Linked DNA regions of Coturnix japonica. The protein of the gene in region 1 purifies or fractionates together with the protein of each later gene. This does not show direct contact. Links are inferred from orthologs where the notes say so. Each region holds a gene or a part of one and is shown in the gene's direction. Other genes may lie near its edges.

Region 1 (3,500 bases):
ATATTGCGTGTCTTTGTAGTCTGTCTTGATTTCTTCCCTTGAGCAGATCCTTTGCCCAGTGGGCGCCAGGAAAATGTCTTACAAGTATTGTTTTTTTCTCTGTTCCTTCTGTTGCTGCTTAAATAACTAAGTTGCCCATATAGATCTTGTATGGTGGATTACAAGTGGTAGTAACAGAAGTGTATGGTTTTGCTACTACTACAGGAAAGCAAAAGGAAGCTTACTCTGCTCTAACTTTTGTTAGTTTGAGAGAATATTTAATAACTATTGAGGACACAATAAGTAAGAAGAAATGTCCATTATTCTGTAATGTCTGGGGCTACGTTTATATTTGAATGTACACATTACTTTATTTAAAACAAAACAACAACAGAAAACAGACCCTAGAATATGCAGAAAACAGCCCTAGAATATGCAGCATGGTTTTTTGGTGGGTAGAGGGTTTTTTTTTATAAAATTATGGTTTTTTTCAGCAGTCTTTGCACGTCTTCTGAACAGTTCTTCAGAGCTGAGGCCTTTTTGGTAGAGTTGAGAATTTCCCTTTTTGGAGGGGATTAATGGCACTGTGTTTGTTTAATGGCTTTAAAATAAGATCCAGTGAGAGAAACAGGAATAGCAATGAAATGTCTGCATCGTTAGGTGAATGAGCCAGTCTGCATCTCTAACCCTTTAATTTTATGAGTTACTTTATACCATATAAAATATTATTCTGCTAGCAAAGAATGTTTTTAAGGATCTAGATGGTCTTTTCAGTTTCCTGGAGCTCTCCAGCCCAGTGCCATTTCTTTTCCTGTAACATTTGATCACTTCTCAGTTTTGTTACCACTCTCCAAATATCTTCCTATTCTGGATAAACAGGTGAGACAAATTACTGGGCTACTATAAAGCTTTCAGCGCTTCTCAGGCAGCCAACAGGCTTAAAATAGAACTCTGACTTCAACCACAGAGAAGAACTGAAGTACGATTCGGCTGTTTAGGATGAGTCAAGTTCTTCTGCAGGTTGCACAGGGGTTACCCATAATTTGACACCTACTTGAGATATGCTGAGCGATACGGTGATACCAGAAGTGTGGTCAAAGTGAGGAAAAGTCATAAGAACTCCATTTTCTCTCTTAAGTTACCTGAGTTTCAGACTATTAAGAGTGATGGAGTCTGGCCTTCTAAGCTACTGCTCAGCTGTGCATTTGGTTTCCATTTCTGGTTCTGTATATGTTTAATGGTAATGTGATAAATGCTTGTGCAGTTTTTCATTGGATGGTGTGATTTGTTTATATACTACAGTACCTTTTCGATGTGTCTTATTATACTATCCTGTTTAATATTAAATTATTCCAGTGGAAAGAGGCAAAGCCGGAGGAACTCATGGATTCAAAACTTAGGTGTGTGTTTGAGCTACCGACGGAAAATGATAAGCCTGTGAGTATTTTTAGCTGCATATCAAGTGACTTTAATGCCTCGGTAAATCATGTAAAATGGCATGTGTGTCCAGGCAGCCATGGAAGCAACAGGCAGAGCACTCTGCTTTGCTGCCTACATCACGTCCTCTTAAAATATAAAATAAAACCATTTTAAATCCTAGCGATGCTTTACATTGCTAGCGGCTAATTTGAACCTTGTAAGTGCATTGGAAGCACAAGGAAATCTTTGAGTTGTTCTTTCTTTGTTGAGTAAATGATCGCATAGGATAAAAATGTTATTTTTAAACAAAGCACTGATTGGTATTGATAAAGCTGAGAGCTTCTCTGTTGAGGGATGTGATGAGGAAAGAAATCTGAATTAGGTGGGAATTAACAGCTGTTCTGTTTGGGGGTAACTTTTTCTATAATCTATAAAAATTATCAGGAGAAAACAAAGCAGGTATAGTAACAAGTTCCTGATAACTTATAAATGAAAGCTTCATTTTAAGAGATGGGTAGAAATTTGGGTGAGGAATGAGCATTTTGTTTTTGTTAGAGCCCAGCCCTTTGCACAACAGAGGGAGGATTCAAATCCAAGAGAAGCAGTGGGCTTTGGAGCTCTGCAGCCTTTGTTTCCTGACTTGGGCTGGGAGTTCCTCTTCGCCACAGGAAAACAAGAGGATGGAGATGTGATAACCAGTGGGGGGAAGGATGAGAGAACTGCAGCAGAGCAGCTGGGTGGTTCCTGACAACATGCTGCTTCTTGGAGCAGCTGCTTGTGTTGTGCTTGGAGAGGGAAAGGTGTGGAAAGCACCACGACTCCAAGCAGAACGTCAGCAGATAAGTCACATTTCTGATACTGTGGGACGTGGTCTGATGGCATTTCCGCTCATATATGTGCAAGGACTGAAAACAAGGGGTCCTTTTGTCAGCACTTACTGCTGCAGATCAGGTCAGGAAGGGGAAATAAGGGTTGAAGATAGAAAAAGGTTGTTTACTTCTTTTGATACAGGCACATTTTGAGTAGAACAGGAGATCTTACTCGATTCTCCTCATGAGTATCAGATGTGGTGTTAATAACTAACCAGAAGTCATTCTTTTTTTTAACAGCATGACATAGAAATAAACAAAATTGTATCCACAACTGCAACAAAGACAGATTCCTCTGTAATGTCTAAATCAATAAGCTCTTCCTTGGATGACGCTGAAGTTAAGAAAATAATGGAAGAATATAAGAGGCTGCAAGTAGAAGTTCAGAGGTTACGGGAGGAGAATAAACAGTTTAAGGTAAAGATTCCTTCTTTTCCATGTTTACTTCTCTCCTGACATAAAAGATTCAGACTGAAAGGCTTGTTTGCTTATCCTTGGCACAATATTTTAATGTTGTCAATCAACATATATAAAGCCAGAAAAAAAAAGTGTGGAAATCAATGGTTCCTCTGAAAGGAACTCGCAGCTCATGCAGTTGGAGAAGCTGATGGGATAGCAACCCAAAGGAATGAATCCCCACTCATTTTTATTTCTTTTTCCCCCACCTCATTTCCTGAGTCTGGATTAAGCATTCAGTGTTGGATTTGGCCCTGTGCTCTCTGACTGATGGGAGTTTGAGGGCAGCTTTGTGCCAATGCTACGTGTTAGTCATGACGCCTCTAGCTCATAGTTGACATGACTGAAGTAGCACAAGAAATGCATTTCTGGTCATACCCAGCATGTGACTGCGAAATCAAACAGGTGAGAAAATTATCACCAAGCTGGGGACCTGTTTGGGTTTCATTTATTATAGATATTTAGTTTCAGAGGTATCAGCACTGGTAGGAAATGCAGCATTTGTTAATGCTGGGCCCTAATGAAAGGAACTCTGTTCTGTCAGCTCTGATGTTGTGTGGCTGGTTGATGCACGTTGAAATTCTTTGAAGCTCTATGAAACATTTGTGTTTTACTCATAGAAGTAACGTGTGTGTGTAGCAGAGACACAAGCTTAACTTCTTATGTCCTGGTCCTTCTTGTGTCTCCCAGTACAATAAATGCTCTACGAGTGTGTTTCATTTATGTGCTGGTTTCAGCTGGGACAGAATAAAGATGCTGTACAGGAGATGGCTAGAA
Region 2 (3,500 bases), on another chromosome or scaffold:
AAATTTCAGAGAAATATTTCTCTGTAGTGGGAATGGGCAATGCATTCTTAATCTTTTGTGGATATTTGAGATGTGGATTAGTTCCACAGCTAAGACTTGTTAAGTGTACACTGCTACTACTATGCTTATTGTAGTTTTACTTATGGGCTTTTTCGCTTTTAGGAGCTGTAGCACTGAAGAATCTTGAAATAAAAGAAAACGCACTGGTAAGACAATGAAAGCAAAGACACAAATTGTTGCAAAAAAAATATTGTAGGGCACTTTTTGGTTGATTTTTTTCTTTCTGGTTCTTACTTTAGGATGTGCATCCATGTTTTTGGTGTTGTGTTCCTCCCCCCCCCCATTCCCCCACTAATGTTATCTAGTGAATTTGGTATTAAGTTTAAGATGAACACATATATTTACTGACTTCAATTAGCATATTTTGCAAAAAGAAAACTCGTATAGGAGTGTGTTTAAATAAATAATAATTTTAAAAAAAAGTACTGGAAGCTATATATATATTAATTTTTTTTCTATAGTATATGGAGTAGAAATTTGCCCTGAAGAATGTGCATGGCGTAACAGTCTAAACAAGAAACTCATTGTTTTTGCATTCTGCTATATTTAATATATTGGTCTTATTTATTTATTTATTTGGGGTGTGTGTGTGGTTTGTTTTTTTTCCTTCAATGGTTAAGTGGTATATTTGTTGTTAAGTTTATCTGTCTTCTATTCCTATTTGACAATATTTCACAAGTTGCTGAAATACTTTAAAATGCTTTGTTTCAGAGTCAGCTGGATGTGCCATTTAAAGTTAAAGCAGGACATATTGGTAAGTTACATTTTGTAATTAATTCCTGCAGGAATTACTGAACATACCCTTTTTATTTGCAGGTGGCTTTAGGCATTGCAAGCAAGTAGTTTTCTTGATTTTCATACTTCGAGCATTCTTTTTCCCTTGAGTTAAAATGAAGTTAAAATGTATGTGGTCTTGTTTAGTCTTATCAACATTAACAAAAAATGAACACAGTGTAGCAAAAGATGAAGCTGATAGAAATGTGTCTCATCCGTTGTTTCAGTAAGATTCATCTCTGATTTCGCCACCTCCTTCCCTTTGTCTTTTCCCTTTTATGAAATACATTTCTCACTGCTAAGTGACTGCATTTTAAAAGTGAATGATTTCTTAAAATGAACTAAGTCTAAAGCCACGTTTCCCTTAGACTTCCTCTGGAAATAATTTTTGTGTGTGTGACTAACTTCATATTTTATTAAAAATGGCACCTATATGAAGAATGAGGGATGCTGTAATGTTGGGATCATCATGCTCACAGACATGTGTGCACTATTAAACACTCTCCTTCATGAAAATATTTTTAAAAAATATTTTAAAAATTCTAGTTTTGGCAGTGTTTAAGTGACTGAAAATGTGTGAGTTGTCCTATTCTGTGGGTGTGTGAGAGCATCCTATAGTGGATTGGGAAGGAAGGGGAGATTGTTGTGAAGAGTGAATATAGTTCAAGAGAGTAAGGAGAAGAATTACATGTTTGTCTCATGCAGAAAACTTGTTGAATGTTATCTGCGTACTACTTCAGACAGATGATCCAAAGGAAATCCACTTCAGATGCACTGCTTTTTCTGTTCAAAAAAGTTTAGAGCTTTTGTAGTTAATGCCAATTATCTTTTTAATAATTAATAACTTTTTTCTCTTGTCTGCAGTTTGACTGCATAGCTCAGCGTTTTTCTTTTGTATTTGTAGGTCAACTTAACCTTCAGATTCCATGGCAAAACCTTTATACTCAACCTGTTGAGGCAGTTCTTGATGGAGTTTATTTGCTTATTGTGCCCACAGCCAGTAAGTTAATATAGAGGGGGAAAAAAAAAGCGTGGATGGAATTTCAGAAGTTGCTGTAGTTGGTTGATATTGCTTTCATGAGCTTTATTTCCGGTACACACTGGGTAAATGTCAGTGGAGTAACCTTCAGAAGTTTAGATTTAGTCAAATAATTTTTTGTTGTTATAGAGTCACAAACAAAGTGTGAAAAAAATTATTTTGTAAAAATATCAAAACACATAAAGATTTTTGTATCTCACCTTTTAATATTGTGTATTTAGGCATAAAATATGATGCCGAAAAAGAGGCTAAGCAGCTCATGGAGGCAAGGCAAAGGGAACTGCAAAGGATAGAGGAAGCAAAGCAGAAAATAGCTGACCAAGGTAAGAGTGAGAGCTAATTACAGTATTGCTACTTTTATTTTTTAATTCAGAAAGATGTTGGATTTCTCACTTAGTGTTCTAGACTTTTTGTTTTGTCTCAATATTTAAACTACAATTACAGGTCTTTATTTTCATTTAGGAAGGTTTGTGTTTTTGGATTTGTCTTGAGTACTATTTGACTTAGCTGTTAGCTGTTGAATATTTTGTGTGAAATAGTGTTCATCTTTGGAAATCCGACACTGTCTTGAAATTTGAATATGTAGGTTGCATTGGTACTGCAAAATGTTCCTCCTGGAAAAATGAGATGGTTGCCATCTCATACTTACATACTTTTGAATCACGTGTATCATATCATAGGCTGAAACTTTGTAGGCTGAGGATGTAAATGTTACATGTCATACTGAGAGATAATGTTTTTAAGAAATGAGTGTACAGAGTAATATAAAATTTAAGCATTTGTCAAATTAATTTTATTAAATTCTTTTCTTTTTTTTTTTAAACTTAGATAAAGTGAAAGAAGAGAAACAAGACACTTTTGTAGAAAAACTAGTCACTCAGGTCATCAAAAATCTTCAAGTGAAAATTTCCAACATCCACATTCGCTATGAGGATGATGTAAGTGATTTTGTCTATCATAAGATAAGGGGATATGAACAACTATAGTAAATGAGGAGCTTTTAATTTTTTTTCCCTGTTATTTTGTATGTTGACAGAATACTGTTAAGGGTTTTTAAGTTTCATGGTCTTAAAGTAAAGCATGAAAATTAATAAAAAGCTTGTACCAAGGCATGAAGATACATGTGTGTGTGTTTTTACTGTTGTCTGTCTATTTTCAAGTATAAATGTTAAGCACAATATAATCTTCTTTTGGTATTGCCCTCACTTCGTCAGATCACAAATCGAAGTAACCCCTTGTCATTTGGGATTTCACTTCAGAACCTAAGTTTGCAGGTAATATTATTTTTCATCTAAAAACCATGTTGATGCATAGGTTAAGGAGATGTATATGATGTAGGTTATGTTAATGTAAGTTTTTATATCTGGCAACATATAGTCTAATGGATGAATTCTCATCATGGGCTAAACACAATGGTATTTGGTTTAAAATTATTTGGTTTATCAAATCAAGCACAAATTTTGGAGTGGAGATATTGCGATTAAAGATTAAATCCTGGCTCTTGAACAGACATCTGGGAGGAAATTTTTATTCTGCCTTTGCAATCTGTGGTTGCAAGTCATCAGACTTTTCTAAATTTGTGCTGTTTGTAATCTATGGGTGTTTTATTGAAATTGGCATAAGCCCC

What was found. Proteins that work in one complex are often made in the same cells at the same time.
Region 2: the proteins of VAPB (region 1) and VPS13A purify together in Homo sapiens (affinity purification with mass spectrometry; 3 studies listed by BioGRID and IntAct, counting the BioPlex papers as one, with this or other methods). This does not show direct contact. The link is inferred for Coturnix japonica from reciprocal best matches to the Homo sapiens genes VAPB and VPS13A.

What each region holds. Positions count from the first base shown.
Region 1 is NC_029535.1:10,102,600-10,106,099, reverse strand, and holds part of VAPB (vesicle-associated membrane protein-associated protein B/C), read left to right. Parts: intron 1-1,335; coding exon 1,336-1,416; intron 1,417-2,507; coding exon 2,508-2,684; intron 2,685-3,500. UniProt on the Homo sapiens protein: Endoplasmic reticulum (ER)-anchored protein that mediates the formation of contact sites between the ER and endosomes via interaction with FFAT motif-containing proteins such as STARD3 or WDR44.
Region 2 is NC_029547.1:33,864,697-33,868,196, forward strand, and holds part of VPS13A (vacuolar protein sorting-associated protein 13A), read left to right. Parts: intron 1-162; coding exon 163-206; intron 207-771; coding exon 772-814; intron 815-1,738; coding exon 1,739-1,834; intron 1,835-2,094; coding exon 2,095-2,196; intron 2,197-2,701; coding exon 2,702-2,811; intron 2,812-3,087; coding exon 3,088-3,147; intron 3,148-3,500. UniProt on the Homo sapiens protein: Mediates the transfer of lipids between membranes at organelle contact sites. Binds phospholipids. Required for the formation or stabilization of ER-mitochondria contact sites which enable transfer of lipids between the ER and mitochondria.